Linked DNA regions of Schizosaccharomyces pombe. The protein of the gene in region 1 interacts with the protein of each later gene in a pairwise test. Each region holds a gene or a part of one and is shown in the gene's direction. Other genes may lie near its edges. The genes, in order: ppr5 and uaf2.

Evidence for each region.
Region 2: the proteins of ppr5 (region 1) and uaf2 interact in a two-hybrid assay, tested with the Schizosaccharomyces pombe proteins (one large-scale study listed by BioGRID).

Annotation. Positions count from the first base shown.
Region 1 is NC_003424.3:4,602,748-4,612,237, forward strand, and holds ppr5 (PPR repeat-containing protein Ppr5), read left to right. Parts: upstream 1-4,070; 5' UTR 4,071-4,884; coding exon 4,885-8,670; 3' UTR 8,671-8,990; downstream 8,991-9,490. Other genes in the region: protein mug157, read right to left, coding at 1-234, 400-474; SPOM_SPAC1093.07 (uncharacterized protein), read right to left, coding at 3,160-3,396; pdx3 (pyridoxamine 5'-phosphate oxidase), read left to right, coding at 9,384-9,490. UniProt on the Schizosaccharomyces pombe protein: Mitochondrial RNA-binding protein that acts as a general negative regulator of mitochondrial translation.
Region 2 is NC_003424.3:5,322,571-5,328,321, forward strand, and holds uaf2 (U2 auxiliary factor small subunit Uaf2), read left to right. Parts: upstream 1-3,023; 5' UTR 3,024-3,040; coding exon 3,041-3,691; 3' UTR 3,692-3,865; downstream 3,866-5,751. Other genes in the region: ski7 (ski complex-interacting GTPase), read left to right, coding at 1-152, 208-681, 742-1,713, 1,754-1,838, 1,876-2,236; SPOM_SPAP8A3.07C (phospho-2-dehydro-3-deoxyheptonate aldolase), read right to left, coding at 4,150-5,259, 5,531-5,539.

The DNA of each region.
Region 1 (9,490 bases):
TGAATCAGCGGCATGCCAACGAATTGTAGTATCAAGAGTATTTGGCATACAATTTTCAAATAAACGTGCTAAATCTTCATCCTCAAGTTGCTCCTTCACATCTTCAATAGTCTGCTCCACCGATTTAGAATGAAACGTACGGCATGATGTTGCTGGTCGTTGAAACGGTAACCTCAAAGGGCCAGTAGCTGGATAATGTCTCCTTCCAGAGTATGTCTTGTAATTAGGACATGCCTAAATAATTGTTAGATTAGAAACACTTGAATTTGTCACCATTTCTCCGAAAGAATCTCAGTAAGGTAGATTTATATTCTTAAGTCGAATAAAATCCATGTTCACAGGCTTACTAAGACTATTCGAGTTATGGTTGAAATAAGCCTAAAAAAAATTTTGTTTTACCTTCCAAGGAATATTAAGATTGTTCGCGAAAGCGATTCCAAATAGGAAAAATAGAATTGCCTGCCAATATTTCATTATCTGGAAAATGACGACGATGTTTGAATGAAATAAAAAATTTAAGTTAAATTTCTAAACATTCAAATCAATTTAATATTGCTATTCGCTACTTTATGGCTTGACGAAGCAAACTGGATGTGAGGTTATGAAAATAAAGTAAGTGTTGACAACTAACAACACGTTCGACTCAATGCGATCATACATTAAGTAAATCGCGTCTGCTCCTCAATTCTAGATACAAAAAGCAAAGTAAGATGGTTCAAAAAACGTAGAAGTATTTTATTAAAAGAAAGATAATAATAATAACAATCAATTTGGAGATGGTATTTATGCAATATCTTCGAGTACACCATTAGAACGATATAAGCTTATTCAGTAGGAAATTCAACAGAAAAATAAATAATTTTGAATAATAGATCACTTGGCAAACAATCGAGAAATATTAACGTACTCGGATTGTGGATGCAAGATATCAAAGCGAAAAAGAAGCAAGCATAAACAAAATTTTCAAATTTATTTTTATATTTGTTATTGAATGTTGTCAAAAAAAATACAATTTAAGACATGCATGCTTTCTTTTCTACAACTGAGCATTTTCCTTAAATTTAAAAGGGTTCTTTGTTTTTTTAGAAGCTATGTTTACTGTCACCTGCATACTTTCAGAAAAAATATAGAAGTTTAATGTTATTCAAATTCTTTCAGTAACATTACAAAAGAATATTAGAATGAAGAAAATTCTATAATATCACACTATCTTGCAGGCATAATTTATAGCAGCCAATTTTTGTATGAAAGCTAATTTAAAATTGGACACTGCATGCAAGTGTTAAATTGCTGTTTAACGTGTATAACCTGAATAACCTAATATCCAAAAATTAGCGATTTCATATATCCAAACTAATATTTGATTGCGAAATTTGTAGATTAAATTATTACTATAATAAATTTCTAAAATTATTTATCAGAAGCTAAATTATTTGAAGTCTTCGGTGGTTGCATTGTATTTTTGAAGTACCGTTTAAAAATGTAAAAAACAAGATATCGGAACAAAACTACATAATGCAATTTTTTTGCTTTATCACCGACTATTTTGTTTCTTGATGATTTTTTTACCCTATTCTTTAATGATTAACAGTTAATGAAGGTCGCAGGCTTTACATTAGCAGCATTATTCCAATATTTAAAAAGTAAACAAATAGATGTGCATAACCAAACAAGGGAACCGTCACATACGTATTTTAAATGAAGAAGGCGATGCGTATATAATTAAATCACAAACATTGTTGCTTGTTTTATGTTGTAATACGTATGAATTATTTTTATTTTTGGTTATTTAAGTAAAAGAAAAATTCGAATACTGCATATTTAAAATATTTAGATGGAAAGGGTTTTACTGCAGTCTAGTATGTTCATTGTAATAGTTTATTTATTTATTAATTTATTTTCTTTTTTTTTTTTTTTTTTTTTTTTTTTGGAAAAAGCTTTGCTTTTCACATATGTTTTAATCAATTTTTCCACACTACAATAATTTTTATACTACAGCACAGAACTCTAAGGTGCTATAACTAAAGAATTACAAATCTGTTTATCATGAACTAATAATTAGAAAAGCATTTACGACAATCACAGGTTGTTGTTAGATATTTTAAAAAAATAAAGGTCACGAATTCTGTTGTATTACAGATTCGTTAAAGGTTCGAATGCGCTACCTTGCTCGGATTAGCGCTTGTACTTAATTGTTAAGATTGCGATTTAGTTTATTGTTCTAAGTGTTATGGTTGTTAGTATAGACCAACAAGACATTCTTTAAAGCTGGCTACAATACTAGTGGGCCGACACTAAGTCAATTGTCGATCTGTGAATCATGACTGGGAAGCAGTGAACAATTAAGAAATATAATAGATAAAGACTGATCTACGGAGTCAATTCTTGATAATATTCATCCTTTTCTCAATACCACGCTAACCTTTATGGCAACCTAGATACTCTTGAAATATTGAACTACAGTGACCTACCATTTATAAATTGTTATATTGCAAATTGCCGATCTATACCGAGAATATCAAAGTAGTGCTGTATATTCAATATACCGAGCACTCGTTCGAGTTTCTACCATTGTAACATATGACTTTTTATCAGATCAACATGATATATGTCAGCAATGATCATTTACAACTCACAGCATACCCCATCGATACATTTTATAATGCCTTTCTTTCCATAAAGTAACGTTTCGATTGGAGGGCTTCCAGAGAGTGAGGCTCAGACAGTAATGGAGGCTTGTGTATTTAAAATCATACCAATGCCATTTGTTTTCCCTCCATACTTCGTGATTCTAAATGATCTGGTTATTTAATGAGTAATTCCGCAAGTTTTCTTTCTAATAAGGTTGAGATACTGTGCGCAGAGGAGCTTGATTATTCTTTAGTGCACTTATTTTAAAAGTACCCGTTTTAAGGTCAATGAATTTTGTTTTGTCTAAAAATGTTTTCTTAGGCGCGAAGTATAGTTTAAAGTTTAGGATTCACGTATTTCTCTAATAATGAAATTCGCCATGTATTTATTTATTTCTGCACCTGTATGCGATTCGTAGGTTTGTCTGCCTACGGGATTTTTCAGCTAGCACAATAGACTCTTACTTCTCATCTCTTGCGTGCTATTTTTGTAATTTCCCACCCTTCCTGAATTTTGCTTAGTCCCAACTTAGGAGTTGTTGGAAAATCTCCTTACCCGATAAAATGTGTTCCTAACCTGTCCCCTTTTACTAGCTGCGGCAAAACTGGCGCTAGTTCCGCTTCTCAAATCTATCTCAATATCGTCCGCCTTCGAATTTGCGTTGGGACGATAAACTTGTCTCAAAAAAATCGATCCACAATTTTTTTTATCTTCTTTTTTCACCGACGAGGCTCGTTTGGTCCACGCTAAAATATTGGTTTCCATATATATACATACCTGACATCCTGACAAACTAACATTCGCTAAATTCGTCGAATTATCAACGGGTGCAGAATATCTTTTACCACATATTTAGCAGCTCCTTATCTTTAAGACTTCTTATTCGGGGTAACGTGACTTTGACTTCATTGTCTCACAAAATTGCTACGACCAACCAACTACAAATATCACTCGTTCAATTTTAAACTTGAACTTGTCGAAAGCCATACTGAATACTCTGTTACTACGTACTAGACAATTGTTGAAATAGATTATTTTCACACTTATTGCCCTGTAACAGCTCGTTTTTCAACAAAACGAAATAATTTTGTTGATTGTGAAAAATTTCCGCTTTTTTTTTTGCGTCGCCATCCTCATCTTTCCCTGTTGGAAGCTTAAACACACGAAACTTGTGCTTGGTGTTTTAATTAATCAAGCACACACTTCCCTTATAGATCTACTTCCTTGCCCTTTTCTGAGGATTCATTAGCTACAGACATATCTGTTATTCATTCAACAAATTCTTGAAGCTCAAATCGCTTTTCTTTTTCCGCATTTTAGATGAACTAAGCATTTAATTATTCTATCATTTTCTCTCCCTTTTTTTTGTTATTCGGTTTAACGTACCTAGGTTTTCTACCCAATCCTCTTTTGTTTGGCACGGTGTATTAGATTTCGTCAGGTTTATTGTTTTTTCCCATCTATTTCTTCATTCATTTATTCCACTCCCCTGCTTCAATTTGATATAACTAAATTACCCTCCTCTTGTAATTTTCATATCGGCGTCTTGTTTCATTTCGCCACTGCTGACGCTTGATCAGATTTAAATCGTCATATATACTCTTCTCCACTTGCCATTAAGACGATCGTACTTTGAAAACATTGTAAAAATTCTACTTTATAAGCAAAGTATTCGAATCGCTTTCTTCATTTGACTTTATTGGAATTTTTATTTGTCTTTGATAATTCAATTGCGAGTGCTAGGATTGCTCTATCTTTTTATTTTTCAATCCTTGAATCTTTACGTACCCTCCAACTAGCACTCCTTTGTTTGCTTTGTGTATATTTCACTCTTATTCTGGTCTATAACGCAGTTCATCTGATAACGGTGATAGGCTCGTCATTACCAGGCGTACATAACACATTCACTTGATTTATTCTATATTTCAAATCTCAGTGACCATTTCATTTAACCTTTGCTGTACTATTTTATAGTCTGTCCTGCTAGTCTTCTTTCCCTGAGTTAGTGGATATTCTGGTTGGTGGTCGGCTATACCGTTTAGCTATACATATCGTTTCCGTTTTTCTCTCTTTTTTATTCATTTCTTGTGTTCTTTGGGTGTTTACTATTCTTTTTATTATTCATTTCATTTGTTTTACGTTTTTTCTATTTATTGTGTCTCTTTTTGGTCTAATTTTTTTTTAGATTGTTTATATCCGTTTTTGTTTATTTTCTAGACTATTATCCCATTTACGCTTAATATTAGTTTCAATATGGTTTACACGAAAGCTTGGTTTTTGCAAAATATTGCCAGACAAACACTTGGCAAAAATGTTGCCGTTCATCGTCCTCCTTTGAAGCTTGGAAATATGACGAATTGGATTCAACAACAACAAGCCCAAACGAACCTCTCTCTCTCTAACACGAAAGCACCTGGTTCATTGGATGAGCGTCTTTTCTTAACTGAGGATGACATTATCTTCCATGACCGTAGTATTCAGCTTGGTTACTTCGATCCTTCTCTTTCTGAGCGTAAGCAATCTCCTCCAGGCAAGTCCCTTCATCGCTTTGTTGACAATCTCAACCCTAACAGCTCACATTTTTCTGCTTCTCTTTTACCTGCTTCTCTCTCGTCACTATGTGACTCGACATGCGGTGATGTAGATGATGAACAACAATTTAACTCTCTCGCAACATCTCCCCTCTCAACTGAAACCCAGTCCGAAGTTTCGGACCCTTTACTGGATACTTTAACTCCTAATTCTTTGGAATCTTCTTTTGCTTCAATTTCTCTGAATTCTTTCACTTCTGCCAATGAGTTTATTCAATTTTTGAAAAGACTTGCTAGTAGTAAATTATCCATTCATACTTTTGATCTGTATAAGCTTGTTCGAAACTCTCCTGAACTATTGACTTTGGAAGCGTACAATATTGTTTTGCAATGCATGAGTACGGACGACTATTTTTTGTCGTCATCAAAAAACATTCAAAAAATTATCAAGGTTTATGTCGATATGCTTAATTCGTTTATCTCTCCAAACGTAACTACATTTGAAACCGTCATTTTCGCTCTTTGTCGTCGCGCTAAATTCGTGCATCAAAAAATTGAATCACTCTCTAAGCGCACTATTTACGCACATCCGAGTATTGCAAAAGAAATACAGCCTGAATTGCTCGATCTGCAATCCGAGATGCCTTTGCAAACTGCTGTTTTCATGTTTACTTCTAGCCTCATTAATCACGATCTCATATACTCTCCTCAATTTTATGCTATTTTAATTGAGAGTGTTTCTTTGTATGGAACGCAAAGCCAATTGGATTCCTTATTAGAGTGCGTTCCTCTTGGCACTATTGAAGCTAACGGCCATCCTGATTTACTCCCAGCTCTAATTAGAGCTCTCGGTAGAGCTAAAAGGCTCAACAGTTGTTTTCAACTTTTAGAGCGTTATAACTTATCTGATCCAACTAGTGACACTTCGATGACTAATGTGCGTTCTTGGGAAGGTTTAATGGAAGCTTATTTTGACACAGATCACCATGTTGAAGCAAGTGCATTGATGAAATCTTTTTTCCGAAAGGCTGATAGCAATCAAGTTATACCGTCTTCAATATTAGACTGCTTTTTACGTAGATTGGCTCAATTAGGACATTATAAGGAATCTGCTGAATGGCTTGGTATGGCTATAGAAAAGATTAGCACTTACAAAGCGAGTCCGTCTACATTATCGTCCATATTGGAGGCGGCTTGTTTGAACAACAACGACAAGTTTGCTATTGCTTTTGTGAGAAAATATACATTATCTCGATTTAGCGACTGTCATGCAGTGCTTCTCCGTTATCTGGACTTGCTTGCCAGATCAGGGAATGTCGATCTACTTCATTTACATGCATATCCCGTTATTTGTTCTGTGTCTTCTCACACTAACTTTACGTTTTCGAACGTTTACAAAGCTTTCATTGAGAACGGAAAGATTGATGTTGCACTTCGTCTACTTCGTAAACACATTGATCCAAAAGTTTCCCTTGGTAACAATACTGCACCATCTTCTAATAGTGTTGCTCTTCAATTATCAATCCTTAATGGATTTTGGGAAGTGTTGACGGAGGAGTTACAAAAAGATGTGCATGTTCTTTTATCGTTGGTTTCAACGTTAGAGAACCAAGTAAACTTCCCTCAAGTTGATTTTACTACTCCGTTGTTACGACATATAACGGGTTACTTAGTTAGCCGTCGCTTAGAACCGGAGCTCATTTCTCCTAGAGTATTTGGCTTTTTGCTGGAATATGCAGCATTCAATGTCGTGCAAACCGAAGGTACTTTCACTTCTAAGGTTATCCTCACTGATTTGTTAAAATGTTACTCCAATGGAACGTATAAAGCATCTTTCAAAAACGTTCATGTTGTTTTACGTTCTTTCACATACCTGAAAGAAGACGAAATGCTGGTTGCATCCGTTCGAGATGACATCGTCTCTGAAGCAGTCGTCGGATTCTCTACTGATAACAATGGACAGAAAATTTTAGCGGATATATCGCAAGTTTGTTATTGCCTTGACGACCTGGAATGCATCGATCAAAGTATAAATTCACTTGTTTCCAAAATGTTAACAAGTGCATCACCTGAGCAGGTGGACGTTAATATATTGTTTTTCCAGTTCGGTAAGCTTATTGAAACCAATAAATTTTTGCATCCTGAAGTTTATCCTACGTTAATATCTGTTTTAAGCAAAAATAAACGTTTTGATGCTGTGCAACGTGTTTTTGAGCATTCCAAGCACCTCTATAGGAAAATCAGTACGAAGTCTCTTGAAAAAGCGAACTGGTTTATGGCGTTGATTTTAGACGCCATGATCTTATCGTCTTCCTTTGCTCGTCAGTTCAAATCTTCAAATCTTTTTTGTGACAATATGAAAATGCTTGGATATATTCCTCGTGCTTCAACTTTCGCACATTTGATTAACAACTCAACAAGGAGAGGAGATACTGATGATGCCACTACCGCTTTGAATATTTTTGAGGAGACCAAACGCCATAATGTGAAACCTTCTGTTTTTCTATATAATGCAGTGCTTTCTAAATTAGGTCGAGCTCGCCGCACAACAGAGTGCTGGAAATTGTTTCAAGAAATGAAGGAATCGGGGTTACTTCCTACCAGCGTTACTTATGGTACCGTAATTAATGCTGCTTGTCGCATTGGTGACGAGAGTCTTGCTGAGAAGCTATTTGCTGAAATGGAAAATCAGCCTAACTATCAACCTCGCGTTGCTCCATACAACACTATGATACAATTTGAGGTCCAGACAATGTTTAATCGTGAAAAAGCGCTATTTTACTACAATAGGCTATGTGCTACCGACATAGAGCCTTCTTCTCATACTTATAAGTTATTGATGGATGCTTATGGTACATTGAAGCCTGTCAATGTAGGTTCCGTAAAGGCAGTTCTTGAACTTATGGAGCGTACAGATGTGCCAATTTTATCTATGCATTATGCTGCATATATTCATATTTTAGGAAACGTTGTTTCGGATGTTCAGGCAGCCACGAGTTGCTACATGAATGCTCTTGCCAAACATGATGCCGGGGAAATTCAACTAGATGCGAACTTATTCCAATCCCAAATTGAATCTCTTATTGCAAATGACCGCATTGTTGAAGGCATTCAAATTGTTTCTGATATGAAGCGTTACAATGTCTCGTTAAATGCATACATTGTAAATGCCCTTATAAAGGGATTTACTAAGGTTGGCATGATTAGCAAAGCACGTTATTACTTCGACCTTTTAGAATGCGAGGGTATGTCTGGTAAGGAACCTAGCACCTATGAAAATATGGTTCGTGCCTACCTAAGTGTAAATGACGGTCGAAAGGCAATGGAAATTGTGGAACAATTGAAACGCAAGCGTTACCCGCTACCGGTTGTTAATCGTATTTCTTCCTTGGTAAATAGCCATATGGGTCAGAAACCTAAACGTCGTTCTTTGAATACTAGTCACTCTTCTCTTGCTTCTTTAGGAAATGCTAGTACCCAACACTCAATTAATAGTTCTATCAATTAGACTGAAATTTGTGTGCTAATTGGATGAGATTTGGGCTATTCTTATATATTATATTTGATTATTGGCATGTATCTTTATTTCGTTCCTTGAAATAATTTTAAGCATCTTTTTTGATGCTATGTAAAATATTTTTATAGATTAATATAGAACTTAGAATTTTATGCATTAAAATGTCTAGAATTTACTTATCGCGTATTCAATTTTACTTTTAACCACTGGACCATTCCTGTACAAACATTGCTGAAATGGTTATGACTACCGCTAAGTAATAAAATTTGGTTCCACACATTACTAGATGATCTAAGTTGAGAACAATGTTGTTACCATGGCATATAGTTGTTAAAAAACTTCAGTTTACATAATACTTTTAAACATTCCCGCTACTGTAGAAGCACTGTTTTAATAAGTGCCCAATTGACATCAGTTACAATTTCAGGGATAAGCTTAAGAATGCTTGAAACTTTGGTATCATGACAGTAACTCTTGGTATCGTTCATGGCAATTTAAAAAGACATAGAATTTGATCGATTTGTGTTAAAATTAACCAGCTCTAGCATGCTGTACCGTATGACACGTCTTTTGCTAGCATTTTCTTTAGTGCGTGATACTGAGTCGTTTCATCGCGTTATATATATATCAAAACAGATATCTCATATAAATTCAGTTACTGCCTGAAACGAGGAAAAGTATCTTTTCCAATCCCGTTTACCACGATGTCTGAAAATACTGATTCCACCCACGAAAAGCTAATTTTTGCACCTTCTCGCTATCAATATGAAAAATCAAGTTTGCACAGAGATGCACTTATGGGAAAAGACCC
Region 2 (5,751 bases), 720 kb from region 1:
AAAACCTCCGTCTGAACATCCCATCGGTCTTTCTTCTATCCTAAAACAAGACTCCTCTTCAAGTTCTGATTCTCCCAACTTTTTTCCATCCTCCAGCACAAATGACCATCAAGAACGTGACACAATTAACGACACTAACTTTGTAGTTCCAGGTACGCCATTATAATTAGTCACAAAAAGTGGAGAACTAGAAATTAACATTCATAGAGAAACAAAAAACATCCAAGCTCGCATTACTCGCCGCTGAACGGAAAAAATTGCATTCTTCTTTTCCATCCACTCAACAGCAGCCGCCTAAAACCGAAAAGGAAAAGGAAAAAGAGCCTATTCAAGCTAAACATAAGAAAAACGTTGAAAATGATTTTTTGTTGCAAAGGTTTCGAAAGGTTCGCATTGCAGAGAAGAAAGACTCTGAACAACCATCGTCTCATGAAATTCATCTTACTGACGATGATGATAAAACCACACTCCAAAAACAAATGGTGGAAAGCGACCAACTGAAGAAGAACCCCCAAGAGGTAAAATTAGCTCCTCCTTCCTCATTTGCGAAATGTCTTACAGGCGCAAAGAAGCGCGTTTTTGAGGACCAAATTGAGATTCATCTAAGCAAAAGTTCACTTTTAGGATTTAACGCCCCTAGCCCTGACGACATAGTTTTGATGGCTCAATCTAAATCTAAAAGTATGCTTTGTCTCCTTCAATTCATCTTTTCCTTTTTTTTTCGCGCTAATTGTTAAACAGGTTTCCAAAAACACAAACGTTTGGACGAGCAATTGCTAAACTCTGTAAAGTCAATGAAGAAAGTTTCTCAACAATTGAAACCTCAAAAAAATACTAATGATTCAAATAATGATCACACCTTACTTTCCCAAGATCAGTTAATTGAACTTTCCAAATTAGTAAAGCCTCGAACGAAACTCTTGTTGTTGGGCCCGCCCAAGTCTGGTAAAAAAACACTCCTTTCTAGATTATTTTTTCAAATTGGATCATTTGATCCCAAAACCATGCAAAAATGTACAGTACTGAATGCCAAAAAAGAAAGTTTGAGCTCAGTGCTAAAGTCCACCAAAACGAAATGGTATGATTTTGAAACATTTTCCAACAGTTACTCCTCAACTATTATTGATTTTCCTTTAGGAATCTTCACTACTAATGCAAGTTCTCGAGATAATTTTCTAAAACATTCAAGTTTGTTTCAAGTAATGAACACAGCCATTTTCACCATTGATTGTCTGAATCCTTTGGAAGGTCTTGATGGAATATCTTCCATTTTACAATTGATGAATGGCTTATCTATTTCAAGCTATATGTTTGCTATCACTAAGATGGATGAAATTGAGTGGGATGAAAATAAATTCATTAATCTTGTTAACTCGATTCAGAGCTTTCTGAAAGAAAGTTGCGGAATAATTGAGAAATCAAAATTCATTCCGATAAGCGGACTAAAAGGAACCAATCTTACATCCATTAGTCAAGAAAAATTATCCCAGTGGTATAAATCTGATACATTGCTTGGCAAAATTGATAAAGAAGCAGATACAAATCATGGCACATGGAATTTTCTTCTTAATCTACCTCTCTCTTTAACAATTTCACACATTACTCCTTTGCCAGAAAATCAATCACATATTTACTGTAGCATCCATTCAGGCATGCTTCAGGATTCGCAAAAGCTTTATGTAGGCACAGGGAGATTAGAAACACAAATCACAGGTACGGAAGGTGTTCAATTATTTTATGTTAATCAAAAAAGGACTGAGCAGTGATGAAAATCCCAAAGGGTTTAATGTTGCTGGGGATATGATTCAAGCCAAAATCCCTACATTACCCAATTTATGGTAAGTTCTTTGCAATTCTTGTATTTCTAATAAATAGTCCTGGGATTTTAATTGCTGATAGTATCGATGCCTTTACTTCTTCGAAAACTGCTTACGTTAATGCAACTTGGTTTCACGGTTCTCTTGAAAAAGGAAAGTCGATGCATGTAATAGCCCTATTCGGCTGTCACGCAGTCCTTACCAAACTGTATTGCTTTACAGACAGTCAAGAAAAAGCTCCTAACGCAATCGGAAACGATCTTGAAAGAAATCGAACCTCACTTGTGAAAATTGAATTAGAGAATGCTTTCCCTCTCGTAAAAGAAAGCTACATTAACACCTTAAGCCGCGTTTTATTCGTTTCAGAAAAATGGAATAGCTTAATTGCGTTTGGAACAGTACTATCTCTGCATGACTGAATCCCTAACTTACGTATTATACTCAACTCCATATTAATTTTGCATTCGAAAAAATTTTCCGTCCTTTTTAAAGAAATTCTCTATAGATTGTTTTAAATATTGTAAAACTACCGATGTTGTTCATTTGCGTACATCTCAGGCATCGTGACATTTGGAAACAATTTGTTCTCGAGTAAATTTCCTGAGCAAAAAAAAGGAATGTGCTGTGTTAAGAATAATTTATCTTTTTTTCTTTTGAATCGTTGGCACATCAGTCTAATAACAGTAACTACTTATTCTTGATATTTTCCAAATTCGAATATAATTAGGGAAATACAAGGGAATATCTGTATATCGGATAGTTGTAAGCTACGCAGTTTGGTATCTGATTTAAGGATACGTAGAACTGTGGTGAGTTTTCCTTGTGATCTATTATATTACAATACACAGGTTATATAAGTAGCAACTGAGTATAGGTATTGTATTAACTGGGTTATAATGTTACCTATCACTAATATAGCTCATAACTGAACTGAGGAACGAGGTTCAGCAGTAGCTCTATTTATAGTATTCAGATAATATAGATCTTAATAGATTATCATTAAGATCAATCTCCATATCGTATCATACATGGTACGATATATAATTAGAACATGTGACATATAGTGATACGCAACGTAGTGTATCATAGCGTAGTGTAGTACTGCTGACAATAGTGTGCAAGAATAATTTAGAAAATTTGCGTAACTTAACGAGATGTTGCACGCCACCATTATAAGACTAGAATCATGTTGGATCACTTTATTTCATAACCACCATATAAAAATGGCAAGTCATTTGGCAAGTATTTATGGTACTGAGCAAGATAAAGTCAATTGCTCATTCTATTATAAAATAGGAGCTTGTAGACATGGGGAACGCTGCTCTCGTAAACATGTCAAACCAAATTTTAGTCAAACGATCTTATGTCCCAACATGTATAAAAACCCAATTCATGAACCAAATGGCAAAAAGTTCACGCAGCGTGAACTTGCAGAACAATTTGATGCATTCTACGAGGACATGTTTTGTGAGTTTTCAAAATACGGTGAAGTTGAACAATTAGTCGTCTGTGACAATGTTGGAGATCACTTAGTCGGAAATGTTTATGTAAGATTCAAGTATGAAGAGTCTGCCCAAAATGCTATTGATGATTTAAATTCCCGATGGTATTCCCAAAGACCAGTCTACGCCGAGTTATCTCCTGTAACTGATTTTCGCGAGGCATGTTGCCGGCAACACGAAACTTCGGAATGTCAGCGGGGTGGCCTTTGTAATTTTATGCATGCCAAAAAACCAAGTCCTCAGCTTTTACGCGATTTGGTACTAGCACAAAGAAAGTATTTGGCCTTAAATGCAGCAGAAGAAATGAAAAAGGAGCCCAATAGTGATTCCACGAATCGATGGGTCAGTGTAACTGCTGAACGCAAAAATTAAATAGCAACTTATGGAATGTATTTGTTTTGGATTCTGGTTTGCTTTTGTACGGTTTTACTTCGTTTATTATGATTAATCTCTGGCTATAGTTTGTTGTGATTTAGGTTATTTAAATAGATGTTGCATTCTTTTATTGTTTACTAATAAACTTGATCTTTGTACAACTGTACTCATAGACGTTTTAAATTTTGTGTCCAATGTGCCTATGGCTGATTACAAGCTAAAGGAGATCGATTAGAAACATATGAAACGATCAAACATTTCGCAAAACTTGCACAGCAATTCTTAAAAACGAAGGTGTTATTGGTAGAAGCTGTGTACGATATAAGAAAAAAAAAACAAAAAAAAATAAATAGAACCCGTATTTAAGCCAAAATTGTTCAGTTGTTGTATGTTACGAAAAAATAAGTTTCAAAAATTAAAAAAATTAAAACTGCTGAATATAACATTTATATGTCTTAATTACTTTTTTGGTTTTGACGGCGAGCACGGACAGCTTCAGCAAGATCGTCTAGCATTGGAGCAGTTTGTTCCCAGCTAACACAAGCATCAGTGATACTGACACCGTACTTGAGAGTATCCTTAACGCCAGGACGGATTGGAGCATCTTGACGACCTTCATTGATATGAGATTCAATCATAACACCAACAATGGAAGAGTCGCCATTTCTGATTTGTTCGGCGATGCTCTTGGAGACCTTTGGTTGGTTCAAATGATTCTTGCTTGAGTTGCCATGAGAGCAATCGATCATGATACGAGGAGGAAGGTTGGCCTTCTCAAGATCTTTGCGAACGGCGGCAACGTGCTCAGCATCATAGTTAGGACCCTTCTTACCACCACGCAAAATGATGAAGGTATCCTTGTTGCCCCTGGTCATGGTAATAGCGGCGAGACCTTGTTTAGTAACTCCTAGCATTGTGTGAGGATGGGCGGTAGCACCAATGGCATCAATCGCCACACCAACAGTACCATCAGTACCATTCTTGAAACCAACAGGGAAGGAAAGGGCAGAAGCCAATTCACGATGTAATTGAGACTCGGTAGTACGAGCACCGATAGCACCAAAACTGAGTAAGTCGGCGAAGAATTGGGGAGAAATGTTGTCCAACATCTCACTGGCCAAAGGAATGCCAAAATTGGTAACGTCGCAATACATTTGACGAGCCATCCTAATACCCTTGTTGATAGCAAAAGAACCATCCAAGTTAGGGTCGTTGACCAAACCCTTCCATCCGATAGTAGTACGGGGCTTCTCCAAATAACAACGCATGACAACGCACAAAGCATCCTGAAGCTCGTCAGCTTTGGGCTTCAGCAACTTAGCATAGTCCATGGCCAATTTAGGGTCATGAATGGAGCAAGGACCGACAACAACGATAATTCTGTCATCTTGTTTGTTGAGAATAGCTTGAATCTCCTTTCTGGAGTCAGTGATGACTTTGCGAGAAGTTTCAGAAACAGGAATCTCTTGTTGAACCAAAGCGGCAGGAACCAAAGGGTTGTAACCTAAGACACGGTTGTCATCAAGATGCTCTTGATCGTAAGTTTCACCGCTGGGTAAAAAAACCTAATTGAATAATGTTAGCAAATTGACATTAAAAAAAAAGACCAAACATGCTGGACATAGCAATCAACATAAAGCAATAAAAATTTCAAAAAAAAGAAACAAAAAAATTTAAAATTTCAATTGCCTAAAAATTCATCAGCAAAAACAAATTTGTTATCCGCATAGTAAAATCTACTATATAACTCAATAAGATAACTTTCAGTACTGTTTCTCCGACTGATGAAAATTTTTACTAGCAAAATTCTTTGGATGCCCAATTGGGGTTACTTACCGGAGACATGGCTTATTAAATAGAATTAATAAATTTAGGTCAAAGAGTGCTTCCTAAGTTGTTGAATGCCAAGTAAGTAAACACTATTAAAGGTCCTTTACTACGACGAAGGTTGGTTCTGTCTGAGTTCGAAGCAGCGCCAACGAAAAATATATGTAGTCCAGTAATAAGATGATCCAGTGATAATGGCTCTAAGTCATCGGAACTGCGAAACAAGTAGT